4 linked regions of the Macaca fascicularis genome follow. The protein of the gene in region 1 interacts with the protein of each later gene in a pairwise test. Links are inferred from orthologs where the notes say so. Each region holds a gene or a part of one and is shown on either strand. Other genes may lie near its edges.

Region 1 (7,369 bases):
CAGGGACTACGTGGTCAAGAAGGGTCTGGGGCATAACTTTGTGTCCGGTGCTGTAGTCACAGCCGTGGAGTGGGGAACGCCCAATCCCAACAGCTGTGGGGCCCAGGACTCCAGCCCCCTCTTCCAGGTGAGCGGCTTCCTGAGCAGGGACCAGGGCCGGCAGCCCTTCTCGCTGTGGGCCCGCAACGTGGTCCTCGCCACAGGCACGTTCGACAGCCCAGCCCGGCTGGGCATCCCCGGGGAGGCCCTGCCCTTCATCCACCATGAGCTGTCCGCTCTGGAGGCGGCCACAAGGGTGGGTGCGCTGACCCCAGCCTCGGACCCTGTCCTCATCATTGGCGCGGGGCTGTCAGCGGCTGATGCAGTCCTCTACGCCCGCCACTACAACATCCCCGTGATCCATGCCTTCCGCCGGGCTGTGGACGACCCTGGCCTGGTGTTCAACCAGCTGCCCAAGATGCTGTACCCTGAGTACCACAAGGTGCATCAGATGATGCGGGAGCAGTCCATCCTGTCGCCCAGCCCCTACGAGGGTTACCGCAGCCTCCCCGGGCACCGGCTGCTGTGCTTCAAGGAAGACTGCCAGGCCGTGTTCCAGGACCTCAAGGGTGTCGAGAAGGTGTTTGAGGTCTCCCTGGTGCTGGTCCTCATCGGCTCCCACCCCGACCTCTCCTTCCTGCCTGGGGCAGGGGCTGACTTTGCAGTGGACCCTGACCAGCCACTGAGCACCAAGAGGAACCCCATTGACGTGGACCCCTTCACCTACCAGAGCACCCGCCAGGAGGGCCTGTACGCCATGGGGCCGCTGGCCGGGGACAACTTCGTGAGGTTTGTGCAGGGGGGAGCCCTGGCTGTGGCCAGCTCCCTGCTAAGGAAGGAGACCAGGAAGCCACCCTAACACCCGGCCAGACCTGCTGGCTCCCAGGCCCTGAGAGGACAAAGATGACCACATCTCTGCTGGATGTAGGGTCCGTCCAAAGATGCCCCAGGGAGGGGCGTCAGCCCACATAGCTGACCTTTGGGGTCAAGAGGAGTAGGGATCCCAGTGTCTGAGGTGGTAACAGTGGCCGCAGGCCAGGGTCGGCCTAGACCTAGGATTTGGGGGTAAAGCTGCTGGTGTGAGCTGGGATCACCAGGACCAGCTGAGCACCCAGCAGGAGACCTGCAGGCCTGCGCCTTCCAGAAGCAGGTCCCAAATAAAGCCAGTGCCCACCTGCACTCATGCGTCTGAGGACTCTGTGCTCAGGGAAGGAGCTGTGTTCCCGGGACCCTGCACTGGGCTCGGGGGAAGGGAGGGAAGGCGATTGGGGGAGGAGTCCTGGGGCATGTGGTCCTGGATGAGGTCCATGACTGGGGCCTTGGGGTACAAAGGATGGTGCCCCAAGTGTGGGAGCAGTTGAGCGGGCAGCTGTACTACAGCCTGGGGGTGGCAGTGGCGGGTGTGTGCAGGGAGTGGTGTCCCGGAGGGCACTGCAGTTCTGCCCCCCCCCCCCCCGCAGTCTGTCCCCTCTCCTCTCTGTTCTGCCACGTGGCTTCCTTTCAGTCCCTCCTGCTGGCCAGGTCCCTGCCTGCCGCAGGGCCTTTGCACAGAGGGTCCCCAGCCCAGGACAGTTTCCCGCCTTTCTTTAATTCCTCTTCCTTGGGGTCTCTCAGGGTAAGAATCACTTCCTCTAGGAAGCCTCTTCTGACACAAATCCCTCCACTGCCATCGCAGCAAAGACTCCTCTCATGGTCCAAGGTGCTACCTTTTCATAGCAGTTCAGTTTTTATTTTTCTATTTTTTTGAGACAGAGTCTCATTTTGTTGTCCAGGCTGGAGTGCAGTGGTGCTTGGTTCACTACAACCTCTGCTTCTGAGTTCAAACGATTCTCCTGCCTCAGCCTCCCAAGTAACTGGGATTACAGGTGCCTGTCACCTCACCCAGCTAGTTATTTTATTTTTAATAGACAGGGGTTTCACCATGTTGGCCAGGCTGGTCTTGAACTCCTGACCTCAAGTGATCCGCCCTCTTTGGCTCTCCAAAGTGCTGGTATTACAGGCATGAGCCACCACACCCTGCCAGCAGTTCAGTTTTAATTGTTCATTTATTTGTGGAATCATTTCAGTGTTTGGCTCTGCCCACTTGGATGTAAGCTCCAGGAGCTCCAGGAGGCCAAGTACACCATCTGTTTTGCCCATTGCTGGAACTCAGCACTTGGGCACCTGCCTGGCACCTAGTGGGTTCTCCTTAATTCATCTTTTAAATGAATGGGTGGATGGATGGATAGATGGGAGGATGGTTGGATGGATGGGAGGATGATGGGTAGGTGGACGGGAGGGAGGGTGGGTGGGTGGATGGATGGGAGGGAGGATGGATGGATGGATGGATGGATGGGAGGATGGTAGGTGGATGGATGGATGGATGAATGGATGGGAGGGTGGGTGGGTGGGTGGATGGACAGACAGATGGGCAGGCGGGCAGATGGATGGATGGATGGATGGATGGATGGATGGATGGATGGATGGATGGATGGATGGATGGGAGGATGGTGGGTGGGTGGATGGATGGATGAATGGATGGGCGGGTGGGTGGGTGGATGGATGGATAGATGGATTGATGGACAGGTAGGAGGGCGGATGGATGGATGGGTGGGTGGGTGGATGGATGGATGGATGGATGGGAGGATGGTGGGTGGGTGGATGGATGGATGAATGGATGGGCCGGTGGGTGGGTGGATGGATGGATAGATGGATTGATGGATAGGTAGGCGGGCGGATGGATGGATGGATGGACGGACGGGTGGGTGGGTGGATAGATGGATGGGTGGATGGAGTGTAAAAGAAAGATGTTCTGGGGTGAAGACTGGTTCTGGGCGTTGTGTAACGAAAGGGGCGGCCTGAAGGGTCGTCCACGCCCGCGGGAGGTAAGGGTGGGCGCTCTCGGGTGTGACAGGGCCCGCGGTGCGTGGGCGCCGCTCCCTGGGGCTGGAGCCGGCAGAGGGCGCTCCGGGCTGGCTGGACATCCGCGCTCCGGCCCCTGCAGCGCGCCGCGAGTGGGAGGGGGGACTTTAGAAGCGGGGACAGCAGGAGACTTTTGGGGAGCAGACCCCAGGGGCGCCGCCCTGCCCCCAGGCCCCACCCACCCCGCGCCTCTGGGTAGCCCCATCTGTGGCTGCGCCCGCGCCCCTAGCCCCGGCGGGCAGTCCTCAGGCCCCGCGCCCGGCCGCCGGGGGTGGGGGCGGCGGGGAGCGGGCACGTGTCTCGGGGTCCGGCCGGCCCGCCCCCCGGCGCTGGCCAGTCCCCGCGGTGTCCGCGGCCGCGGGGGCAGCGGGAGAGAGGGCGGGGCAGCGCGGCCGGCGCGGGGAGGGGGTCGCGCGGGGGCGGGCCGCGGCCGGGCGGGGGTCGGCGGGCTTCCGGGCGGCGGCGGCGGGCGCGGCGCGATGTGCGAGCGGGCGGCGCGCCTGTGCAGGGCCGGCGCGCACAGGCTGCTCCGGGAGCCACCGCAGCAGGGCCGGGCGCTGGGCGGGCTGCTGCGCTGGGTGGGCGCCAGGATGGGCGAGCCCCGGGAGCCGCTGGCCCCCGCCGTCCCCGCGGACCCCGGCCCAGCCTCGCCGCGCGGGGGCACCGCCGTCATCCTGGACGTGAGTACGCGCCGGCCGGGACCCGGAGCCCCATCCGCCCCTCGGGCGGACCCCGACGCCGCGACTCGCGAGGCCCCCCCTACCCGGGCAGGAGACCCCCAGCCCCTTTGCGTGCCAGAGCGGGAGACCCCAGCCCCGCCACGTCCAGGCCGGTCTCCAACCCAGTTGTCTCCCTGGGCCGGGAGACCCCCTCCGCCCCTCCACCCGCACTTCTCCGAGTCCCTGCCTGCCCACAGTGAGGACCCGTGAGCCCCCGGACCCGGCCACTGTCCCCCTAGTTTTGTCCAAGCCAACCCCCCACCCTTTACCCCGCGGGACCGGAGTCCCTCGCCGCCTCCAGCCCCCTCCTCCTCCCTCGCCGCCTCCAGCCCCCTCCTCCTCTCCATCCCGGCTCCTGTCCGGAGCGATACTTTTCAGAGGCCCCCAACAACCCCTACCTCTAGCCCACCTCTCTTCGCTCTAGACCCTGAGCCCCTGCTCATCTCACGCCCAAAGACCCTTCGCCCCAGCTACTGCCACTTTAAAAGTGAAGCTCCCTCCCCACCTTCTGTCTTCTCGTCTCCTTTCCGTAGAGCCAGAGCCATCGCCCATCAGCCCTGAGCCAGTACCTCTCTGGTCTTCCCCACCCCGCCCCCTTCCATTCCAAGCCCTCTCCTGTCTTCTGTTCCCTTCCCCACACCCCTCTACCCTAGCGAGAGCTGGGTCCTCTTCATGGACCAGACTCACCCCTCACCACCCCTCCTAACTCCCCTGGGACGCAAACCACCCACCTCTGGGAAGCCCACCCCACCCTCCCGCCCACCCCACCCGGGAGGGAGCGGCTTGGAGGAGGAGGACTTCTCCCGGCAGAGAGCACTAGGAGGAGGTGGAGGGGGCTTCTGGGGGTGTGGACTGCGTGTTTCAGCGAGGGTCCTTCTGGGATGGCGCTGGGGGCTGCCTCTGCCTGTGTGGTGGATTTCTGGGAGAGTGGTGGGTGTGTGTGAATGTGTGTACACGCGTGTACAGCAGATCCCTGTGAGTCGGGGGGGCTCCTTCCCTTCCTCTCTCCTCTTTCCTGCTCCTGGAACCCTTGGCAGGGTCTGGACTCGGGGCGGGGGGGTGCTGGACACAGCAGGGGAAGCTCTAGAGTGCCACACTCACAGGCACAGACACACACTCGCACACAGCCAGAGAAACACCTGTGCAGCCACACACACACCCCCCACCCCGTCTCAGGAGGACCCCCACAGAGCTCCCACTGAAAGTCCTAGGCAGAGCCCTGCAGGCCCAGGCTGCCCTGCACGGAAGCCCTGCCCAGTGAGGGTGGGGGCTCTGAGCCTCCATCTCCTCACCAGCCAAATGGAGTGATGAGCAGGGGCGGGGCGAGGGGTGCTCCTGCAGACTCCTGGAGCTGGCTGACATTACCAGGTGTCAGCCCTGCCATGTCACTCATGTGTTCAGCATTCCTGCCCAGAGTCGGCACCTGCCTGGTGCCTGGCCTCAAGGGGGATCTGGGACACCCAGATAGGGCCCCAGCTTTGAGGAACCTTGCCCAGTCAGGAACAGGGCTGCAGGGTGCCCAGGCTGGATCTTTGAGGAGGGCCTGGGGGTCTGAGGTTCAGCCGGGAGGAGGGGTGATGTTTGAGAGGCCCTCCCGTGCTTCAGTCTCACCGCCCAGGTGCCTGGAAATGACCGAGGGTGCCCCTGTCTCGTTGCTTGGAGGGATGGGGGTGGAGGGCATCTGTCCTTTACCCTAAGGCGAGGACAGAGGGTGGAAGGGTCAGAGTGAGTATTACCTCCTCCCCATGGCTGACCTGGCCTCAGCAGCCCTCCCTGGTGTAGGGAAATGTGCACATGTTGCTGCCCCTCCCTGGGTCTTCGCACCCTCCTTGCTACAACAAGCCAGTGAGATTGGGGTGGGGGCCACCCCAGACCCTGGGATCCTTCTCAGGCTTTAAAGTGCTGGTGGGCCAGGCACCGTGGCTCGTGCCTGTAATCCCAGCACTTTGGGAGGCCGAGGCAGGTGAGTCACCTGAGGTGAGGGGTTCGAGACAGCCTGACCAACAAAGTGAAACCCCGTCTCCACTAAAAAATACAAAAATTAGCCAGGCATTGTGGCAGGTGCCTGTAGTACCAGCTACTCGAGAGGCTGAGACAGGAGAATTGCTTGAACCTGGGAGGCAGAGGTTGCAGTGAGCCAAGATCGCATCACTGCACTCCAGCCTGGGCAGCAGAGCGAGACCCCATCTCCAAAAATAACAAATAAAAAGTGCTAGTGAATCAGTCCCCTTAGGATCTGGTTACGGTGAAAGGTCTGACTCCACTACAGTGCAGAGTAGGTGGGACGTCCTGCATTGCAAACAAGCGCCTGCAGGACCCCCGAAGAGCTCCTGTGAATAGCAAGGTCTTAGCACACAGGTGTCAACATTGTGCCTGGGAAGCTTTAAATATGCTGAAATCAGAGCGGGCCTCACAACAGCTGATTCAGTCACCCTGGGGTGTGGCCTGGGCTGAGGAGGTTTTGAAAGCTCTCCAGGTGATGGTGTTGGAATGGGCGGAAAGCTGCCTTCGAGCCTCAGCCTGGCAAGCGGCACTGCCAGCCAGACCTTGAGGGAAGGGGAGCAGCTCTAGCCCAGGGATTTGGATGTCACTGGAAAGGCAGGAAGAGGAGGCACCTGGTCTGTAGGTTCAGGCCAGCCTTGGAGCTGCCCTTCACCCATCCCTGCCTAATGCAGCCAGAACCTCGTCTGTGGCTGCTTTTCCGAGCTCTTGGCGTCCTGTTTCTCCTCCTGCACCCCAAAATTAACACAGTCCTGCCTGTGGCTGGCATTGTCACCAGGCCTTGCAAACACCTCCGTCGGACTTATCCCAACCTCCCTGGAAACACACCAGGGGTTCTGGAAGGACTGCAGTGGTAAAGGTTGTGGCGCTCCCTGGGACACTGATTGGGAGTGTGGTTGTATGCAGCTGAGCGTTTGGCGGTGGTTGAAGCCGTGTGGACTGATGACTGTGGATGTACACCTGCAGGGATGGCCGTAGGCCTGCGTGTGTCTGTCGGCATGGCTGGGGGCAGGCTGGTGGTACTGGCAGCCGCTTCCGCGTGGGCAAGGCGAAGGCCTCTGCCTGCAACATCCCTCTCCCGTTGGCCCTGGATCCCAGCCCAGGGATGGGGAGAGGGAAGAGGGGCTCAGCTTCCCAAGACCCTAAGCTGCTCCTAGGAGAAGAGAAGGATCCCAGTATCCGGTCAGAGGCCGCCGGAAGGGCTTGCCTCTCCCTGGCCCAGGGCTGACTCGGCCTCTCTTTTCTGCAGATTTTCCGCCGTGCGGACAAAAATGGTGAGTTTCCCTCCCAGGCAGTCTGCCGCCCGCTCCTTCTGTCCTTGTGCTTCATGGGGAAAGGATCAGGGATAGGAGACATGTGCAACCTTGAGCCTAAAGGCTTGGAGTGCAGGGGTCTGAAGTTAGAAGGCCAAATCCTGCTGCTGCTCTGTGCCTCAGTCTCCCCATCTGTAAAATGGGAATCCTAGTAGGGCCTACTTAGCAGGGACACCTCCACTCGAGGGCTCAATGAGTCATGTCTGTGATGCCAAGAACAATGGCTGGCTGTGGTAAGTGCTGGGTGTACTTTAGGCCTTTTCCTAGCTGGGTTGGACCAGAGGAGCCCAGGCCAGGGCTCAGAAACCCTCCTTTAAAGGAAGCCCCCAGCTTCACGCTAGGCCCTTTACAAACCTTGGTGCACTTCTTTGTAGCAACCTGAGCAGTCAGTGCTCT
Region 2 (7,398 bases), on another chromosome or scaffold:
TTCTTTCTTCTTTTTTTTCTTTAATTTTTAAAATTCTCTCCTTCCCCGGTTTTTATTGTTGTTGTTGTTTATTTAGGTCTCCACCTATCACCCACACTGGAGCGCAGTGCTGCAATCATAGCTCACTACAGCCTCGAATTCCGAGGCTCAAACCATCTTCCTGCCGCAGCCTAGGATAGGGTTCCTTAACCTGTGGTCCACAGACTCCTGTGAACTTGGAATAGAAAAAATAACCTGCCTTTATTTTTGTGAAAGTTCAACAGGAAATTGACATTTCCTTCATTTATGAATGGAAACAACAAACCACAGTAGCAACAGCAGTACCTGTGACATTGTCATGAACAGAAATCACAGGTATTTTGTTTTTGTTTTTCTTTTTTTGAGATGGAGTCTCGATCTGTCCCCCAGGCTGGAGTGCAGTGGTGCCATCTCGGCTCATTGCAAGCTCCGCCTCCCGGGTTCACGCCATTCTCCTGCCCCAGCCTCCTCGGGTAGCTGGGACTACAGGCGCCCACCAACACACCTGGCTAATTTTTTGTATTTTTAGTAGAGACGGGGTTTCACCGTGTTAGCCAGGATGGTCTCCATCTCGTGACCTCGTGATCCACCCTCCTCGGCCTCCCAAAGTGCTGGGATTACAGGAGTGAGCCACCGTGCCCAGCCCATCACAGGTATTTTCTTTTTTTTTTTTTTTTTTTTTTTTTTTTTTTGAGACGGAGTCTCGCTCTGCCGCCCAGGCTGGAGTGCAGTGGCCCGATCTCAGCTCACTGCAAGCTCCGCCTCCCGGGTTTATGCCATTCTCCTGCCTCAGCCTCCTGTGTAGCTGGGACTACAGGCGCCCGCCACCTCGCCCGGCTAGTTTTTTTGTATTTTTTAGTAGAGACAGGGTTTCACCGTGTTAGCCAGGATGGTCTCGATCTCCTGACCTCGTGATCCGCCCGTCTCGGCCTCCCAAAGTGCTGGGATTACAGGCTTGAGCCACCGCGCCCGGCCAGGTATTTTCATATACTACAGTTGATCACTTCTCAGCCTATTGTCTAAGATCAATGCACATTATAGTTGTTGCAGGCATCATAAAATAATACTTATGCTTATTTATGACCTCAGAATTATGGTGGTCATTAGGCCTGCTATTAGATTATCTAATACATTAATAAAAAGTATATATATCGCTATATTACACTTATAAAAATATTTTGAAAACCATATTTTAGTATAGTTGGTTTTCTTTCAATTTCTGTGTATGTTTGTTATATTTCTTTTTTTCTTTCTTTTTTTTTTTTGAGTCGGAGTCTCGCTCTGTGCTCCAGGCTGGAGTGCAGTGGCCTGATCTCAGCTCACTGGAACCTCTGACTCCCTCGTTCAAGCAATTCTCTTGCTTCAGCCTCCCGAGTAGCTGGGATTACAGACATGCACCACCATGCCTGTGGTTTCACCATGTTGGCCAGGATGGTCTTGATCTCCTGACCTTGTGATCTGCCTGCCTTGGCCTCCCAAAATGCTGGGATTACAGGCGTGAGCCACCATGCCCGGCCTTGGCTTTCATTTTTGTTGTCCCATGGTTACCAGAGCCTAAAGAGGTAAGACCTATGAGGCTCTCATAGTTTTTATTTTTTATTTTTTTGAAACAGGGTCTTGCTCTGTTGTCCAGGCTGGAGTGCAGTGGCGTGATCTTGGCTCACTGCAGCCTCCACCTCCCAGTTCAAGCAATTCTCCCACTTCAGCCTTCCCAGTAGCTGGGATTACAGAGGTGTGCCACTACACTTGGCTAATTTTTTTTGCATTTCTATTAGAGATGGGGTTTCACCATGCTGCCCAGGCTGGTCTGGAACTCCTGACCTCAGGTGATCCACCTGCCTTGGCCTCCCAAAGTGCTGTGATTACAAACATGAGCCACCGCGCCCGTCCTCTCTCATAGTTTTATTGTTCTATTTTCCACAGACCCTTCCTTCCTTAATTTTCATGCCTCTTTAATATTCTGTTTCTTTTACCTCACTGACCTTCTTTTTCGTTCTCCTACCTTTTACCGTGGGTGTCTTATTACCCTGCTTAGGGAGTTTAGCATGTCACAGACCACTATCTTCAGGCAGAGGACCCCACATAGTCTCTAGTCCTCCTGATTGTCTACCCTCTCTCAAGTTCTGTAACTTCAGTTGCCTCTAGGACACCTTCACTGGGTTTTACAAAACCCTGTTACCTGGAACTGAATATATTAAAAGCTAAGATTCCTCCCCAAATCTGCATGTTGTGCCAATTTTCCTGGCCAACTATCTTATCTGTCCCCTGGTTTTGGGACCTTATTTAAACCTTTAAATCAATTTTTAAAAAATTGGAATCTTGATGAATGGTGCAAAAATCAATGGATACAAAGGATACGCCGAGATATGTAAGTCTTCCGCCCACTGGTTCCCTAGGCACTCAGTTCCCCTCCCAGGAGGTAACCACTGTTGCCAGCTCGTAAGAGTGATTTTTGATTCCTTCTTCTGCCGGCTCTATCTCAAGTCCTTCCCTGTCTGTGAGATGTGTGCCCTTTCCTTTCCAGGCCCTAGTGAACTGATATCTGGTTGAATTTATATATAAATATTTATATGTGTATATTTTCTATACATATATAACATCTCTCCCTATGGCCTTCCGGCCTGGAGTTTTCATCACGTCGCTTCCTGGATGAAGGAACCTCGAGGGGTGAGGGGCAGGGGTTGGGGGTGATGGAGAAGAGAACCTAAAGGGGACTTAGGTAGGGGGTTCAGAGTGGCCAACTGGCGTGACGCTCTGGCAGGATTCCTATTCCTATTCCTCCCACCTCAGGCCCGCTTCTAGTCCTCTCATCCAAAAGCCTCTCGTTTCCAAGGGCCGAGACAGAGACAGAGACAGCGAGATACACAGAGACAGAGACGCCGAGGCACCAGCATCCCTCTCCCCCTTCGGTCCCGCCCCATCTCTCTGACGGACACTATCGCTCAGCCAATGGTGCTCACGATATGCCCCTGAAGGGCCAATGAACGCCAGAGGAGGGCGGAAGATTCCCCGCCCCCACTTCTAGGCTTGGTTGAACCGTGCAGGTAGGTCCGGGGCTGGGGGAGCTGTCTTTGGCACTGGTGCCCCTGGGGGTGGGGGCACGAGTGGACAGGGGTGATGGTGAGGTAGAGGCGGCGGCCCCGACACGACGAGCTCGAGGGAGCGGCCCGGCTGGGAGGCGGGGGGCGGCGGGGCCCGGGGAGCGGGCGCCGCCGAGGGCCCTGGAAGCGGCGGGGCTCGGGGAGAGGGACGCGTGTGTGGGGCACGGGGACCCCCGCCCAGCGCCCACTCGTAGGCCTGGGCCGCAGGCTGCCGACCGAGTGGCCGGGGGGCCTGGCTGCCCCGGGGGCGGGCCGGGGCCGCGGCCGGGGGCGCGGAGCGGAGCTCGGGGCGCCAGGCCGAGCCGAGGTGGGACGGACCGACGCGGAGAGGAAGGGAAGCCGCATCCCGCGGGCCGCCCCTCCTGAAGCGAGCCGGGCAACGGCCGCGGGCGCCCCTGCCCTGAGCCCACCCCGCGCTCTCCCCTCCCTAACAATGGGAATGGGGCAGAAGGAGGCGCCCCACTGCGGAGGGGTGAGGGGTAGGTTTGGGACTGGGGTCCGCGGTGGGGGGAGGTGCGATCTCGGGCTCTCGCCTCTCCGCTCCCTCTGGCTCTGGAGTTGGGGGCCCTGGTGGGGCTTTGAAGCCTGCCTGAGACTTGGGTCAGGAGTCAAACTGCCGCCCCCCGCTCCTCCCCCAAAATCCGGTGAGCGGTAAGGAAAGTGATGCCAAGTCTTCGAAGCCTCAGTGACAAACGCATAGCAAGAACACATCCACTCCAGAGGTGTTTATTTTTTATTTTTATTTAAATAAGGGTACTTTTCGACATTTGTTTTTAACGAAGTGGGTGCTGTTATTTTTGTCCCTACGCGGGCAAGCCTCCATTTTAAGCGAAGCAGTAACTGGTTAAGCTGGAATTGTATTCAGGCCCAGGACTTGAACGAGGATCCTACTAGAGGTCATTTAGTCCATCCTCCAGCCTCCAGGCAAATTTACCTTCCTCCTACCCTCAAAATTAAGTTGCTCGGTCTGCTTTTAACGATCTCTGGGGAAGAAGGGTATTTTATTTGTTTCTAGTACTTCAGTCAAGAATAGGTTTTACTTTTCATGTGGAATTGACTCTGAAACTTAAGCATAATCTTGGGACAGTCGGGATGATTAGAGAGGTTTTACTTTACTAAATATAATTAAATGTAGCAAGGGTCTTTTTTTAGATGGTTAGTTAACAAATCACGTTTAGTGTTTATGAGGTACCCTGGAAACTTTATTCTCTCTGGGATTTTGGCTGTTTGATAAGCAATTTTACATTATCTAAAGTAAGTGTTACATATTTATTTCTCTTTTTATATAACGTATGTTTCTACACATATGTACGGAGACACACACACATTTGCCGTTTTCTAAAGGGGACTGTATTTTCTATACTTTTTTAGTGCGATGAGGCAAATAGTACTTCAAAATCTCTGCCCATGTAGCTTAAACTATTTGCATTTTCTTGATTATTTTTTAGTCTAAATGAAAATCCTCTCTTTCAGATACCTTATCGAAACAAAAGATTTTCCTATCTGCTCATACTTGGTAACCGAGGGAATTACTAAGACTTCTTGCTCATTTCTGAGTATTGTCTTTATATCCTGACACTATGAATGCTATTTGGATGCCTCTTAAGGTAAGATGTGTTATTTTTTCATTACCAGCCTCATTTTATTCATTTTTCTTTAGAACTTTGTAATGCTTGTAATTCTTGAATTTGCTATTCTTCAGTTCCTTTACCTGCCATTTCTCTTGCCTCTTGTGTTTGCTTCCTAGGATTGATTGGCTGTACCTTACTTTGCATTGCTACTGTTCTTTGATTATCGGTGTGAACGTTTTAATGAAGTTCTCAAATTAACTTCCATTATAATGAAAGGCAGTGATCTTTTTAACTTTAAATTATGGCAACTTACATAGTTATAAAATTCTGTTCCAATTTTAGGATAGGTTGGCAATTCAGACATCTAGGTCCACTTTTCAAACAGGTACTTTAGAGTCATAGGTACTAGGGTGTGTCCCACTCTTGCAAATCAGTAGCTGATTCATGTGTTACAAAAGATGTGTCATTAACCATTTGTTTACTCTGAAACTGCATATAGTATATTAGAACATTCTAAGACCTGCTGGTTTACACGTATGACTTTTTCAGAGTCCTCCTGCTGCACCCCAGTCCTTTGCGTGACATTTCACACTGTTTTTCTCAACAGGTAGCACTTATGCCAAGTTTATTTCACAGGGTAAACCTCATTTGGACAGTGTGGACAGATGACCTTTAGATGAAAAAGCTCCCATTGATGTGGTGGTTCTCCAGTCTCTTTGGCTTCTCTCATCTTTTATACATAGATGGCCAAAGAACCCTCCATTAGGACTAGGCAAAGGGCAGAGCTTAAGACTGAAATGGGTGGCTTCTTTGATTTTCTTGTGACTAAAAATACATTTAAAAAAATTAAATATTTTTAAATTTTACAAACAAAAACCAAAAAAGACATAAGGAGGGTATGGGAGGAAGGACAGAGAAGGATAAGCAGTCTTGGAAACCCTCCACCAGCTTCGCCTTCCTTCAGAGTTGGATACTAGCTTAGTTAAGATTGTTGTGTGCTAATCTGTTCTGTAGACTTCCAGATTAATGCAGAGGAGAAATCGGACAATAATGCAGTCTGCGTAACCTAAATATCTGGACTTGTGGGAAATCTTAGGTCATGTAGACTGAGTTCTCATCTTCATTTACGTTTCAGCTGCTATTGCTGGATAATGAGTGCTTATATTAATATACAGGAAGCCAAAGTGACACAGTTTTTCCAGCATTCTCCCTGTAGAGTTGGAGGGGTTGCATGGGGAATGCAACCAGAAGTTCTGAACCCGTCAAGAATCGGAGGACCCGTGTAAGAGTGTTTCGACTTAGCAAGTGTTGAGCACCAGGACCTGCTGGCCTCTGTCCTTTTTAGGAAGCAGGCAAGGAGATTGAGATGAATATATTGGATTTCGTTTTATAGTTTCCTAGGTTTTAACGAATGTATTTGGTACAGAAAGCCCTACTTTTAAAGATATTTCCAATGTTTAAGGTTTTACCTCTAAATGTCTCTGAACCTGGGTTACCATACAGTAACCTCAGAAGTTCTACCAGAGGTCTCTGGCATGGCAGGAATAGAGAAAGGAAATCAGCTCCATACTGTGAGTTACCACCTGTTACTACTTGAGAATGTAATTACGTGGCTGCCTTAGTTTTGTGTTCCTTACCAATCCTTTGCTCAGTGCGAAACATCTAAGTGTAAACCAATTTTTTGGGGGTAATGTTTTCTTATTTTTATTATTTAGAAACCTTAAAATTTACAGTGTTCGTCTGGTCAGAAAAAAAGGTACTTTTTGCGGGGAGGATAGCATTGAGTTTGTGGGCTGGAAAATAAAAACAGGGAGAGAGAACTTTACTCTTTTGGTGAATAGCCTTAAAACATTTCTAAGATGTAGTTTCAGATTGGAGCTACTTAAGTAAAAAGAAATGATAGGTTAATTAAAGTGCATATTTTGGAGCCCAAATGTTAATTTTATATAGCTCTTATATTTTGTTTCCAATTATCTTATTGTAAAATGAACTCTGTCGTTCTGTCAGGCATTGCTTAAATGTTAGACTGAGTATGTGCTTGTTTCCATGCATATAGAAAGTAGTGTCATACTTACTCTTCACAAACCAAAATGCGAGAGGAGGCAAGTAACAAGGAAGAATAACTCCAGACCAAAACTCTTCAATTTAAGGCACTCTCGTTAATTAGAAGTTCTCATGGAAATTATTATTTATCCCTTTTTCTCTATGTTGGGGGTCTGTACCTTTTTAAAGCCTGAATATTTCTAGCCACGACTAAGCAATGTCAGTGATGTTGCTAGGTCTAGTTGTCAGGGTTAGGGGCTAAGGAGTGGGTGAGATGGGAGAGGTATAGGGAAAGGAAGGAGAATTGAGTGAGTTGGAGAAAAAAGTGAAATGAAAATGAGGAGGAGAGAAAAGATACAGGGTCTTTAGTGTGTGGCATGGAGCCATCATCAGTTGTCTCAGGTAGTTCTTAGGGGCTGCTGGGTGCCTTGTGTGCTAGACTGAACTATGGTGAAATTACGTAAAAACTGTTCTTGACAAGCAAAACGAGAGAATTAAGACATAATATATGGAAAGATCTGCAAGGCAGACAGTTAAGTGATAAAAGCAAGATGCAGAACAGTATGTATGATTTGATACACTTTGTGTTTTTTAGGAAAAAAAAAAACAGGAGAAAAAGATAATTTGCATTGGTGTATATATGCAAAAAAAAAAAAAAAAAATCT
Region 3 (6,599 bases), on another chromosome or scaffold:
GGGGGAGGGATTGCACTGGGAGTTATACCTGATGTAAATGACGAGTTGATGGGTGCCGACGAGTTGATGGGTGCAACACACCAACATGGCACAAGTATACATATGTAACAAACCTGCACGTTATGCACATGTACCCTAGAACTTAAAGTATTAAAAAAAAAAAAAAAAAAACCATCATCTTCCTCTTCCAGCAGCCCTCCAGGTCGGGTCCCCCAGCAGGACCCACCATGAGAGGTAATTAGGCCTCGAGGCTTCAAAGTCAAGGTTGGCCCAGCCCTCACCTTGCTGTGTGCCGTGAGGCCTGGACTCCCATCACTCACTCCCGCAGGAGGGTGTTCTGTAGAGTTCCCTCAGCCAAATCTGGAAGAGAGATTTTCTTTTTTTTGAGGTGGAATCTCACTGTCGCCCGGGCTGGAGTGCAGTGGCACGATCTCAGCCAACTGCAACCTCCGCCTCCCAGGCTCAAGCAATTCTCCTGCCTCGGCCTCCCTAGTGGCTGGGATTTACAGGCACACACCACCACCCCCAGCTAATTTTCATAGTTTTACAAGCATTTTTGGGCCAGGTTGGTCTCAAACTCCTGACCTCAAGTGATCCGCCCACCTCAGCCTCCCAAAGTGCTGGGATTACAGGCGTGAGCCACCGCGCCCGGCCTGGAAGAAACATTTTCACTTTACTTTTTTCCCTGCTTTTCCAGTGACTTTCTGTTTCTCATTAAGTCATGATTCAGGGTCCCAGAGTAGGGATCACCACATAACCAGGTTCCCCTTAGGCACCCTGGGAGAAGGACGGAGGAGAAGTCGATGGACCCAGCTTAGACCTGCCCAGGGAACGTGCCCCTGCTCCACAGCCATCTCAGGCTGAGACCCAGGTGGTCCAGCCAGCAGTTCCTGGTGTTTCCGGGTAGGGAAGCAGCTGTCAGAAGGACCAGTCCTATAGTTCTCGGTTTGGTCTTGATTCCTTCCGCCAGGGTGCTGACGCCCAGAGACACCTGGTGCAGCACCCAGCTCAGTGTGACCCTCAGCAAAGACCCATTTCATGCTAGAAAGTTGAACGGCTGGTTCCTGCTTCAGTTGGGGCAGTGGCATGGAGCTGGGTGATGTGGGCATGGCTGGACCCTCTGGGCCTCAGTTTCCTCATCGGGCAAATGGAGACACAACAGGGCCCATCTCACCATAGGGCAGCCCAGAGATGTGGCATCCTCTCCCCTTGTCTGTCTCCTCCTTCCCTGGCCCAGGGTTGGCGCCCCCTCCTGCCTTTTCCTGAGAGCTCACTGCACAGATGTCCCGGGGCCCTCCTGGCCACTGCGGCCTCACCTGGAGGCTCCATCCCTGGGGAGGTCCCAGCGCAGGATCACGTGTTCCAACGCTGGCCCCTGCTGAGTCTTCGTGGAGCTCTAGTTTCTTCCCGGCACCCTAAAAAAGTAGTTTATTTAAAGCATGGGCTCAGTGTGTAAGGCCGCACATTTTTTTGAGTGGGGGACAGAGTCTCCATTACCCAGGCTGGAGTGCAGTGGCATAATCTCTGCTCACTGCAACCTCTGCCTCCTGGGTTCAAGCAATTCTCGTGCCTCAGTCTCCCGAGTAGCTGGAATTCTAGGCATGTGCCACCACACCCAGCTAATTTTTGTATTTTTAGTGGAGACGGAGTTTTGCCATGTTGGCCAGGCTGGTCTCGAACTCCTGACCTCAAGTGATCCGCCTGCCTCAGCCTCTCAGTGTGCTGGGATTACAGGCATGAGCCACCACATCTGGCCAAAGCTACAAATATTAACCTGCGTTTTCTTGTCTGAGATGGGGAACGGCTGTCCCAGGAGGGGAACTTACCATTTCTTACAATGACCTGGGGCATTTGGCATGGTGGCCATGGGCGGGGGAGACCTGACCTGCATCCAGCTTGCTGGACCCCAATTTGGGCATCAAGGATTCAGGAGAGGATGAGATGGGCAAGGCCCCTGGTCCCACGGAGCTAACCCCCGGGGATGGGATTCAGCGACAGCAAACAAGCAGTCAGATAATGAAGGCGGTGATAAGGGCAGTGGGGAGCGTGAACAGCCTCAGTTTTTCACCTGCAGTGGGGGTCCTTAAGGGGAACCAGGGACCCTGTGCAGAAAGCCCCTGGGGGTGCGCCTGGGAGGCTCTGAGAGCAGGGTTGGCAGCAGAGTCCCTCCTTCACCTTAGAGGGTGCTGTTGGGGTGCTGGGGCTCTAGGGGTCGTCCCCAGGCCTCTGCTCCAGCCTGGCTGCTCACGGAGACCCTCTGTCCTCTCTTCCAGAGGCACCCCAACACCCTGTCTTTTCGCTGCTCGCTGGCGGACTTCCAGATCGAAAAGAAGATAGGCCGAGGACAGTTCAGCGAGGTGTACAAGGCCACCTGCCTGCTGGACAGGAAGACGGTGGCTCTGAAGAAGGTGCAGGTGAGCTGATGACCCATGGGGTCAAACCTGCATCTCTGGAGGCCGTCTCTGCATCTGGACGGGGTGCCCAGGCCAGTCCCTTTTCTCTCCTCCTCGGTGAACGAGGGAAACAGCACCCAACCCACTGGGTTACAGGGAGAACCAGGTAGACACCTGTTCACTGTGAACCACAAAGGAAAAGAAAAACAAGCATGCATTGAGCGCCTGCTGTGTACTGGGTCATGCAAGGAGCACATGGAGCCTGGCAACAGTCCCGTGGGTGGGGACTGTCATTTCATCTCTCAGATGAGGACAATCTCTCAGAACACCCCAGGGTCCCAGTGTGTCACGGGGGAGCTGAGGTTCAGACCATGTCCACTCATCCTTGTACCTGTGCTTGCTCCACAGTTGTGGGCTTCCTGCCTTCTGCGTCCCTCCTAAATGGAGGAAGTAGATCAAGCGGCAAAGTCAGGACAGGAGCCATGTCCACGGGAGCTGCTGGGCCCATCTGAACACGGCTTTGCTGGAGGAAATGGCTTCAAATCCTCCAGCAAAGCTTCCCAAGCCCCTTGATTTGCTTACTTGTCCTTAAAGAATGAGATTGAGAGCCTGGGCAGAGGAGGCCCGGGAGAGAGAATGGCGTCGGGGAAATTGGGAGAGAACACCAGTAGCTTCAGGGCACTGGAGGAGCAGCGGGGTCCTCTGACCAAAAAAGGACCAGTTTTTCTCTTGTTTTTTTTTTTTTTTTTTTTTTTTTTTTTTTTTTTGAGACAGAGTCTCAGTCTGTCACCCAGGCTGGAGTGCCGTGGTGTGATCAGCTCACTGCAACCTCCGCCTCCCGGGTTCAAGCGATTCTCCTGCCTCAGTCTCTTGAGTAGCTGGGACTACAGGCGTGCACCACCACACCCGGCTAATTTTTATATTTTTAGTAGAGACGGGGTTTCACCATGTTGGCCAGGCTAGTCTCAAACTCCTGACCTCAAGTGATCCACCCACCTCAGCCTCCCAAAGTGCTGGGATCACAGGTGTGAGCCCCCATGCCTGGCCCTCTCTCTCGATCTTCTGGGGAGGGGCTCACCTGAGCTCCCTGTCTTGATTCTTTAGTGCCACGATGGGTTTTGTGGTGGGACAGTGCTGGGGGACCCACAGTGAGTAAACCTTACAGGGGCTGGGGTGCGGGGGGTCCCTCGGTGAGGAGGTGGGAGAGCCGGGACTGGAAAGCAGACCCCGTAGCCCCCTACAGGGGCTCTGGACACAGATTGTAACCACTCTGTTTCTCTTTTTCCTCCCGCCCAAGATCTTTGAGATGATGGATGCCAAGGCAAGGCAAGACTGCGTCAAGGAGATCGGCCTCTTGAAGGTGAGTGCCCGGGGCTGAGTGGGAACCTCGCATCCTCGGGGAGGTTCTGGGGCACCGGCTAGGCCACATCATGTCCATCACTGCCCTTGGGTGCCAGGAATCCGCAGCCCCTGCTAAGTTCGCAGACGATGGCTTTCTAGGGGCAGTGGCTGGTGAGTTTTCTCATGGCCAGGCAGGAGCGGCCTCTGCCTCATCACTCTGCCCAGCCCTCGGGGTCTTTCCTCCTTGCTGGACGCCCCTCCTGCTTGTACATGGCAGTACCCGGCATAGAAGTCCTTCCCCCCAGGGCAGCCCTGACCCTGCCTCCCAGTGTTCTGTGGACCAGGCTTGGCCAGCCAGGGGAGGAGTTCAGTGTGGGGGTCACATCCAGACTGCAGCTTTTCTGGCTCTGCCTCTGTCTCCATGTCTGCCTCCCTCTTTTTCTCTTTCTCATCCTCTTTCCGTCTCTCCTCTCAGCCTTTTTCTTTGGTTTTTATTGTTGTTGTTGTTGTTGTTGTTGAAGAGGCAAAGTCTGTTGCCTGGACTGGAGTGCAGTGGCATGATCATAGCTCACTGCAGCCTCAAGCTCCTGGGCTCAAGCAATCCTCCCGCCCCAGTCTCCCAAGTAACTGGGACCACAGGTGCTTTCCACCACACCTGGCTAATTTTTATTATTATTATTTTTTTTTTTTATTTTTTTGGACGGAGTTTCACTCTTATTGCCCAGGCTGGAGTGCAGTGGCACAATCCCTGCTCACTGCAGTCCCCACCTTCTCGGTTCAAGCAATTCTCCTGTCTCAGTCTCCCGGGATTACAGGCACCCGCCACCATACCCAGCTAATTTTCATATTTTTAGTAGAGACAGAAAGGTTTCACCATGTTGGCCAGCCTGGTCTCGAACTCAGGTGATCCATCCACCTCAGCCTCCCAAAGTGCTGGGATTACAGGTGTGAGCCACCACGCCCGGCCACATTGTTAATTTTTTGTAGGGATGAGGTCTCCTTATATTGCCCAGGCTGGTGTCAAACTCCTGAGGCCTCAAGCAGTCCTCTCATCCCAGCCTTCCAAAGTGCTGGGATTACAGGCAGGAGCCACTGCGCCCGGCCCCCAGTGAAACATACTGGATTTGCTCGGCAGTTTCCAGCAAAGTGGGATTGCTGGTGGCAGGGATGCCTGCTGAAGCCACAGCTGCAGAATTTCAGATTAGCAGTTTATTCTACCACACCCTACCCTGTTTTCTCAGGCCTTGGCCCTGCCCTTGGGGACTTCCAGGCTGGTGGGGAAGCAGATGGTGACCTTCCAGGGTGATGCAGATTGACTGGTGGGCCAGGAGCCCCGGGGAAACCCACTTCCTGAGCGGGTCTTACAGAGGCCAGGGCACCATCCCAGAATCTGGAAGGCCGAAGTGAGCCTGCTTCCAGGCACTGCAGCAGTGTGGATTATGGGAGGTTGGGGAGACAGAAAGCCGGACATGGCGGCAGGGCCAGATACACACGCAGAACCAAAGGGGAGCCCCTGAAGTGGCTGCAAGCTGGGGGGCCATGGCGGGGTGTGAGTTGTGAGTGCCTGCTCTGGTGGCCCCCGGCCACAGTGGGTGATGGAGTCAAGGCTGGAGACAGGAGATGTCCTTACCGCTAACTATTATAGGTCAAAAAATATCCCTCGAAAGCATTGTTTAAATGTTTAAGTAATGGTCAACTTGCTGCCACTTACCCAGCCCTGATCACCCATTGCCCTCTCCCCACCTTGCATGCCTTTCTCCCCAAGTGAGGGAACCCGCGGGTGAGCATGCTGAGCACAGCCTGGTCTGGTCCCTGGTCACACAGATGTGCCATCGCAGCTCCTGCCTTGCAGGAGCCTGAGCCTGGCGTAAGCCCACCTGGCCGCGGAGGGGATTCTGCCCCTTCCCCAGGGCTGTGGTGCAGCCAAAGGCGTCAAGCCTGGGTTCAGAGGACACACCCCTCGCTCACTAGCTGTGTGGCTGCGGGCCAGCCGTGGGCCTCTCAGGACCTCAGTTTCCTCATCTGTAAAGGGGGCATGATGACAACAGGCATGCTGGAGAAGTCAGTGAGGAAGCACGTCTGACGAGCTCAGGGCAGCACTGGTGTGTGGTACGCTCGCCGTCCAAGGCAGCCCGGTTGTCATGGTTACCACCTCTGCCCGCCAACGCCAGCCACTTTCCAGAACACGGGTCCCACTCCTCGGGTAGCCCATGGGAAGTCAACAGGATGTGCCGGGGCCCGAGGTGCTTCCTTCAAAAAACAAAAGGAAACGTGGTTCTCGGAGGGGTGACTGGTTGACATATCATTCATGCCAAGAACCCAAACCCAAAACCTCTCAAGTGCAGGGGGCTTGTCAGCACCACTGCCAAGCGTGGCACAAGAAGGCGGGTCGTGTGGAATACAGAAGTGTGTTCATTCATTCCGTGCAATTTCTGAGCACCACTGAATGCTGGACACCAGGATGCAGCCCAGTGGGGAAGACAGATCATAGACAGACACTCTGTGTTACATCCGAGAGGGCCTGGAGCTTGTAGCAGAGCCCCTGATGGCAGAGATTCAAAGGACAGGGACCCTTACTCTCAGCTCTCCCTCCCTTCCCTCTGGCCACCACCACAGCCAGGCAAGGCCCAACCACGTTGCGTCTTTGCAGCACCTTCCCTGTCCCTGGCCCAAGTGTGTCCCCTTCCAGACCCACCTGGGCCCACCAAGAGGCCACAGGCTGTGAAGTGGACCCCGTGTGGACCAGGTTCTAGACTCAGCTCAGCCCCTGCTGCTGTGGACCCGTGGCTGATCCGTTCTCCTCTCTGGACCTTGAGGATTTAGCCCAATGGATGTCCAGAGCCTCTTTCTGCCTGTGCCTTTGTC
Region 4 (7,364 bases), on another chromosome or scaffold:
TCCCAACAGCTGGGCTCCTTCGCTATGTCTGACTATCGTTCAATTTCCCAATTCTGCTAACCCTTCTTGGCTGATTCAGGTTCTGCTCCTGAAACTCAGATAGGCGATCTCAAGGTTAAAGAAAATGTTCTCTCTCCCATTTTCTGATCACAATTCACAGTCCCCTAAGAGGCAGGTTCTGGGAGCATAAGTGCCTTGTCTCATTTCTCCCTTCACCTGAGGACAGTTCCTGACAAATCACTTCAGGGCTACCTCCTGCCAGAGCAGGTTAGGTCTGAGCTTCCTGGCCCACAGGAGCTTGCCAGCCAGAAGGCCGTGAGCCACAGGAAGCAGGTGGCACGTGGCCTGGCAAACCGCTCTGCCGTGGAGCTGGCCAGCTCCCAAGCATGCTCCTCCATGACTCAGCTCCCTGCACCTGGTCCCTTGGGGCAGCAAAGATGAGTGCCATGATGGTTGGCTTTTCTGAGAGGTTCTGACAGCAACTGGATTTTAGAAAGTCCAGCTCTTCACTGCTTTTGGGACCTTTGACCTCTGCAGCTACCAGGGAAAGACACTTCGGAGAGAAAGGGATGAAAGAGAAGTTCTAGCTCTTTATTATCTCTGCCTTTAGAGGGCTTGCGATCAACCACCTGGATCACTGTTCTGATTTCGTTGTTCACTTTGCCCCTACCCTTGCTGTGTTTTTGATTCTTTAATCCCTCTTTTAACACAGGCTAGTTTATTTCACCAATCCTTGTAAGCCACCTAGAACCCTTCCTGAAACATGAGAGGAAATAAGCAAGAAAATAACTACCATATAACAACTCTCTGACTTGACAAATTATAAGAGTATTGGTAACCTTAGAGAAAGCCAAAGATTTCTTCTAAATTCTATTTTGTTAGAGGGACAGGTGATGATCTTTTTTGTATGTAATTAACACCCAAACAAACAAACAAAATGATCAACAAGAAAAAAACCCAAACATCATCTAGAATGATCTATAATTCCCAATTTGAAGAATTAATATAATCAACATCTGTATAGCAGAAACTTTAAAAATTCAGAATATTAAAAAAAAGTTATGGTTGTTTTTGACCCATTAGACCCGTCAAGAGACAGGCTTGGGGTGAATGCAATTTCATTCTGTCAGATTTGTGAGCAACCTTACCGTCTTTCCTTTCACCCATTCAGTGGCTAATGAGCTGGAGGCAATTGCAGAACCACAGCCAAATGTTTTAAACCTAGCATCCACAATTTTCCCCTTTTCATCCACTTGAATCTAGAAAAGAGACAAGAGTTAAGTGGTGAGTCCTAGGACCACCCTCTGGAACTTGGCACTCACGAAGGTTCATTGGGGCCTTCCCCAAGGGCTTTGGGCTTGCTTTCCATACTAAGTGATGGTATTAATTACTGATTTTGCCTTGTTTCAGAGAGCTCAGTGATGAAAAGTGAAATGCAGGGACAATTATCCAGGCCCAACTGACAAAGATCAGCTGGAAAATATGTTCCTCCACCCCAATATTATTTTGTTTTGCGACTCTGGCTTGCATTTTGGCTATGAACTTCTATTTGAGGCAGTCTGCTCACAGCTGCTGGGGCAATCTGCCTCTTAAACACTGAGAGAGTACACAATAAAGGTCTCTGGTTAATACTTTTTTCTTGGGCAGCAGATTATACTTAGTGGTTTCCTCCTGTTTTGTTTCTGTATTCCAAGATAGGTATGAAGATCTCTGGCAAGCTGCCCACTCACCATGAAGCAGCAGATTGGCGCTACAACAACAGTTTACCCAAAGCACTAGACACTATCTTCATGTTGCTCCCAATCTGGGGACAGGTTTAATTTACTGTGTTTCTTATCTCATTGGGGACTGCTAGCTCACTGGGATTTTCCTTTGATCAGTAAAATTCACAAAACTCTTTCGTTGGCTGAAGTTGGAATTTAAACTTATACAGTGAGTACAAAAATGAGATTACTTTTCTATTTCGGAAAAAGTCGGCATAGTACACTAGCCTGGCAGGAGAGCTACGATTGAGGCCCTGTTCCAATCACGTCTAACATGGACTCATCCCATCTCACAGGAATAAAGATGGAGACCGAGTGAAATGCTGTATGTGCAAGTGCTTTGTAAACTTAAAGGGATTATTGTTATCACTATTAAAGACTAGCCATACCTGTAATTTCATTACGTCACCACATGCTGGAGCCCCCACCAGTCCAGTTCCAACATTTTTAGATGTCTTGTCAAGGGACCCCACGTTTCTAGGATTTTCATAATGATCAACAACCTAAAATGAGAGGGTTAAGATAAATCGTGTTCACTCTCTATTGGTGCTGGTCTCTGGTATGGTGGCAAGCTCCTGGAAGTCAGCATCTTGAACCTGGCAGGCAATCACCAAATTTCACCTGAGTAGAAAGGTCTACACTCATGTCAGTGAGAACCATTTGTGACCCCCAATTCCTTTTGTGTCTCCTCTACAACTACTTCACAGATTAGCGACACCTAGAAGAAAAAAATATCAGTGAAATCATGTCTTAATTCCATAGGGTTTTTACAAAAATACTTGACTTTTACCCACCTACATCACCAGACTTGGGCTCAAACAGCAGTTTTGTTATTTTCAAATAAAAACTATCCTCAAAGGATGATTACTATTTAAAAATTCTAAAAATAACTATGGCCCAGGAAGGGAAAACTTTTAGAAGCCTTAAGGTGACTGTTACACAGAGAACAATGCTATGGAATGTGTACGTTTATGTGTCTTTCAAAATAAAAACAGTGCCATTACCGTATTTCAGAGCCTGTCATCACCCTGGTGCAGCAGCGCACCCTGGCTGCTGAAAGGCTGCTAGTCCAAGTTTCCTCGGGGTGTACCCTCAACGAAACACACCGCCGGGAGGGGGAGGAGTGAAGAAGCCCTTGGAGAAAGGGCAGAGGCCAGATCAGAATCAACATCCATTCGAACTGGCACACAGAAGGCCTTAATGTGGTTACTGGTTAGTAGTAAGCACCCCGATCTTCCAGTCCCCTTTTCCTCCCCATCTGACTAAGGATTTTGACTCCAAGTAAAGGCCCCTATAGGATAGTATCTAACGGAGGGACTTTTTGTGCCACGTTGATTTATGGCATTCTTTGTTTCTAGAGTGGGAGTCTCACGTCTGGGGGACTTTGCGTCACCAGACAGCAAGGGGCTGCAAACTATGCATCTATCCCTCCTTCCCCGCCAAAAAAAAACCCCCAAAACAAAACAAAAACACTACGCATGTTGGTTACAAGCCTGACTCCCCTATGCACTCCTAAAGCAGTAACAGAAACGGTCTCCTCGTGCTGGGGCCTATGTGCCAGGAACCATGACAGGACTCCATGCACAGTATCCTTTGTAAGAGACAGCTGAGAGTCCTCATTTACACCTGGGGAAACAAGTTCAGAGAGGCGCAGTGACTAGCGCAAGGTCATCTAGCCAGGGCAGCAGCGTGGCTGAAGCCGGAGCCCGCTCCGGGGGTGTGTCTGTCCCTGGACTCTAAAAGACAAGTCCCAACAGGACCCTGCCTCCTGGGCTGTTGGCGAATTTAAAGTTGGGACGCACGAAGTCGCGGCCAGCGGCGGGGCCCCCTGGAAGTCGCAGCCCGATGAGCGGTAACTGTTGTTTATCAGTTGCAGTGAGCCTCACTGCGCAGCAAGGGAAAGTGAGTCAGGGCAAAGACGTGGGAGGCGACAGCTAGTCCTGGCTGCGTAGAACCCCGCGGCCGCCGCTCCAGCCCAGGCCTCCCCCGAGTCGGCATTCCGCGTGTCCCCTCGTTTGTCCCTACCTTCTTGTGATAGAGTCGGGCCGGGGCCGATAGCTCCCGGGCGGGCAGGCGGGGGCTCCGGAGCAGCAGAGCCGACGCTGCCCGCCTCAGACGGCCAGCTCCAGCTGCCGCCATCTTGCCGGCTTGCGCCTGCGCCAGTCCAGAGCGATGCCGAGGGGCGGGGCGCGTCTGCGAGTCGGCGCCGAGCTGGGAGCGCGCCTCTCTGGCGTCACCGAGGCTTTGCGCCTGCGCCTTACCGTTCCGTGCAAGCCTCCGCCCTGTGGCCCCGCCTTGACCACGCCTCTCGGGGGCGGGCGGGGTCGGGAGCGGGAAGGTCTGAAGTCGCTAGAGGGCTTGTCCTGGGTGCTGGATTCTGGTTGAGAGAGGATCTCAGGCTTCTGCAGTGTGGGAATGCGGCGCAGAGGACCACTGAGTCCACTTTTCCTAACCCTATTTTGCAGCTAAGGAAGCTGAGATTCAGGGCAGTTTGGTCACTCCGTCCAAGGTCGCTTAGGGCTTAGGTTCAACTAGAATTCGAACTTGGGTAGTCCTGGGTTAGAATCCTGGTTCGGTTCCTTCCTGGCTGTGTGTCCCTAGACAAATGGTACCGGCTTGCTAAGTCTGAATCTTCCTTTTTGTATTAATTCGAGGACAATTCCTTCATCATGAAGCCAGCATCTGTGTTGAGTACCTACTATGTGTCAAGGCACTCTACTAGACCCGGGGATCCAACAGAAAGCAAAACAGACGTAATTCCTGCCCATTAAGCTTGCTAATGAGGGAGCAAGGTAGAGATAGAGACACACTCCAGTACTTGCCTACCTCAACAATGGGAAGCTTAAGAAGGAAACGAACACCATGTCCTGATTGAAAAAAAATGAGTATATGTCTATTTTTCTCTCTGAAACAACAGCAAATTCAATTTATATGTCGGTGCCTAGCAATTAAGAATTTCTAAAGAAATGCGTATTTACTGTTGGTTTGCAGTATGTGAGCTTATAAAACCGGAAAACTCAAGTGTATTTAACGCCTCCTAGGTACCAGATGTTTACATAAAGGGGAAGAATTTCTTTGGGAAATGGATTTTTCTCTTGAATGGTGAAATCGATCCTTCCCCGAGGACCTGCAGTTTTCTTTGCGTTTGAGGTGCAGTTGCTGGGGAGACTAAACCCAAGCGCCAGGTCACACTAGGCGATAAGTAAGGTATTTTTTCTAAGAATCACTTTGACCTTCTCAAGATGGCGCCAAATTCTTTACTACAGACACCACGCTCGCTTCATGACTTCCTCTATGGCCTCCACTTCCTGCCCAAAGACCCAACTTCTGTCCGAAGTTGTGACGGAACGTATGCCATGATAATGAGTTTTTTCTCTGGTGGGAGTTTTTACAGGGGTATAAAATAAAATGAATTTAGTGTATTTGGAGATTTTCTCGTTATCTAAGGTTCCCAGTTTCCCTTTCAGTGTCAAGAAAACGGGCTTTTGATAAGGCGCGCGCCGCGGGCAGCTTCTGCCTCAGCGGGTCTTCGGCGGCCGCGGGAAGACCCGAGAGTCATTAGAAGCGCAAGATGGCGACTGCGGCCGCAACCTCGGCTTCAGAACCCGAGGCTGAGTCCAAGGCTGGGCCCAAGGCTGACGGAGAGGAGGATGAGGTTAAGGCGGCGAGGACAAGAAGGAAGGTGTTATCGCGGGCTGTGGCCGCTGCGACATACAAGACCGTGGGGCCAGGGTGGGATCAGCAGGAGGAAGGCGTGAGCGAGAGCGATGGGGATGAGTACGCCATGGCTTCCTCCGCGGAGAGCTCCCCCGGGGAGTACGAGTGGGAATATGACGAAGAGGAGGAGAAGAACCAGCTGGAGATTGAGAGACTGGAGGAGCAGGTGGGCCCGGGGGTGGGCAGCGGGCACCTTCCAGTCTTTCAGGTCCTCAGGTCCCCGTGTCCTGGCCCGCCTCCCTAGTCCTCGGCGGCCATAAAGCCGCCAAGGCTGCAAACCCCTTTTTCATGACCGTAGCTCCTGTCATTTGAGTGCTTACTGCGTGCCCGGTGCTTTGCAAATGTTATCCCATTGAATCCTCACCACCCTGTGAAGGAAGCCCTGTTATCTATCCCCATTTTACTGGAGGAAACTGAGGTTCGTGGAGGAAAGTCTCTTGCTCAAGATAATACTTCCTGCAAGTCAGGCCTCGTACTTTGATCCCATTCCAGAACTCCCCCTCGTAGCCACACGTCCAACAGTAGAAATACACTCATTCATAAGAGACTGTTACTTTGTTGTGTAGGAATGACGGCGGTGATGAAACTTGTGGTAGGAAAAATATTGACCGCGATGGTGATAATAGAAATGGAAAGGTTTGCTGGTTCTGGAGGTTAAGGCCTCAGTTCTAGCTGTTCCACCCTTGTATGTCCTTGTGAGAATTTCTTAATTTCTCTGATCCTCTCGGCTTCCTCATCTGCAGATTGGGAGCAACAATGTCTGCATAATATAATTGTTGTAACAGTATCTATAGCCCAGTGCCTAGCATCTAGTCATAACATGGTCTCTCGTTTGTAACCTTACGAGGTGGTGATATCTACTGTATAATCCAGGATCTCAGCAGGAAATAGGTGGCACATTTAGATTAGGATGATCTGAGAGAAAGTAAGGGTGTGGGTATGGGAAATCAGGAGTGAAGGTTTAGTATCCCATGGCTAGTAACTCCTGAACCTGGTGTCCATCTTTGGGCCTGAAGGGGTGAAGGGAATGATCTGAGTTGTGTGGAGAGGGCACCTGAGACCTGCTGATAACTTTGTTCAAGGGATGCAGCTCCAGTTTCCTGTCAAGGATTGGGGTGGGGGAAGAAATACCTTGACCTCCCTTTCTTCCTTCCACCAAACTTCTCCTGCTGGTGCCTTCTGCTGGGCAGACCCATCTGGAAGCTGAAGAGCCAGAAAACCTGTATATGGGGTCTATACTCGGGGACACAGGGCAGGGAGGAGAGGGTAGGGTGTGTTTGGAGGGGGCAAACAGAAGAGATGGAGCACATTCTCTCTCTTTTTTTTTTTTTGAGACAAGAGTCTCGCCCCGTCACCCAGGCTGGAGTGCAGTGGCACCATCTCGTCTCACTGCAAACTCTGCCTCCCTGGTTGAAGCGATTCTTCTGCCTCAGCCTTCCCAGTAGCTGGGATCCAGGCATGCCCCATTGCGCCCGGCTAATTTCTGTATTTTTAGTAGAGATGGGGTTTCACCATGTTGGCCGGGCTTCTCTTGAATTCCTGACCTCAGGGGATCCACGCACCTTGGCCTCCCATAGTGCTGGGGTTACAGGCCTGAGCCACTACGCCCGGCCCACATTCTCTTTTTACAGATGAAGAAACAGAGGTTCAGAACAAATGATGAAATGATTTGCTTTAAGTCGTTCATAGTGGGATTTACACCGAAAATGTGGACTAGATGCCACACTGGATGTGAAATCACTCAGTGAATGTGAAGTTGCTAATCTAGGTTACTCATTAAACGTTGCTGAGTGTCAGTTTCCTTATAATACTCCCTCTGGCACTGATATTTTTGTTACATTATGAGATAGTGATGTCATCCATTGGTATAGCTTGCCCCACCCA

The links.
Region 2: the proteins of NECAB2 (region 1) and KANSL1 interact in binary tests that used the Homo sapiens proteins (3 or more experiments, as listed by UniProt). The two-hybrid records come from large-scale screens. The link is inferred for Macaca fascicularis from reciprocal best matches to the Homo sapiens genes NECAB2 and KANSL1.
Region 3: the proteins of NECAB2 (region 1) and NEK6 interact in binary tests that used the Homo sapiens proteins (3 or more experiments, as listed by UniProt). The link is inferred for Macaca fascicularis from reciprocal best matches to the Homo sapiens genes NECAB2 and NEK6.
Region 4: the proteins of NECAB2 (region 1) and ISCU interact in binary tests that used the Homo sapiens proteins (3 or more experiments, as listed by UniProt). The two-hybrid records come from large-scale screens. The link is inferred for Macaca fascicularis from reciprocal best matches to the Homo sapiens genes NECAB2 and ISCU.

Annotation. Positions count from the first base shown.
Region 1 is NC_088394.1:79,839,007-79,846,375, forward strand, and holds the start of NECAB2 (N-terminal EF-hand calcium-binding protein 2), read left to right. Parts: upstream 1-3,386; 5' UTR 3,387-3,419; coding exon 3,420-3,620; intron 3,621-6,909; coding exon 6,910-6,934; intron 6,935-7,369. Other genes in the region: OSGIN1 (oxidative stress-induced growth inhibitor 1), read left to right, coding at 1-898. UniProt on the Homo sapiens protein: May act as a signaling scaffold protein that senses intracellular calcium.
Region 2 is NC_088390.1:67,801,267-67,808,664, reverse strand, and holds the start of KANSL1 (KAT8 regulatory NSL complex subunit 1), read left to right. Parts: upstream 1-3,017; 5' UTR 3,018-3,062; intron 3,063-4,592; 5' UTR 4,593-4,726; intron 4,727-7,398. UniProt on the Homo sapiens protein: Non-catalytic component of the NSL histone acetyltransferase complex, a multiprotein complex that mediates histone H4 acetylation at 'Lys-5'- and 'Lys-8' (H4K5ac and H4K8ac) at transcription start sites and promotes transcription initiation.
Region 3 is NC_088389.1:19,762,361-19,768,959, reverse strand, and holds part of NEK6 (serine/threonine-protein kinase Nek6), read left to right. Parts: intron 1-2,273; coding exon 2,274-2,414; intron 2,415-3,690; coding exon 3,691-3,753; intron 3,754-6,599. UniProt on the Homo sapiens protein: Protein kinase which plays an important role in mitotic cell cycle progression. Required for chromosome segregation at metaphase-anaphase transition, robust mitotic spindle formation and cytokinesis.
Region 4 is NC_088385.1:115,393,211-115,400,574, reverse strand, and holds the start of ISCU (iron-sulfur cluster assembly enzyme ISCU), read right to left. Parts: upstream 3,930-7,364; 5' UTR 3,903-3,929; coding exon 3,789-3,902; intron 2,898-3,788; exon of another isoform or gene 2,267-2,897; coding exon 2,153-2,266; intron 1,260-2,152; coding exon 1,149-1,259; intron 1-1,148. Other genes in the region: SART3 (squamous cell carcinoma antigen recognized by T-cells 3), read left to right, coding at 5,335-5,646.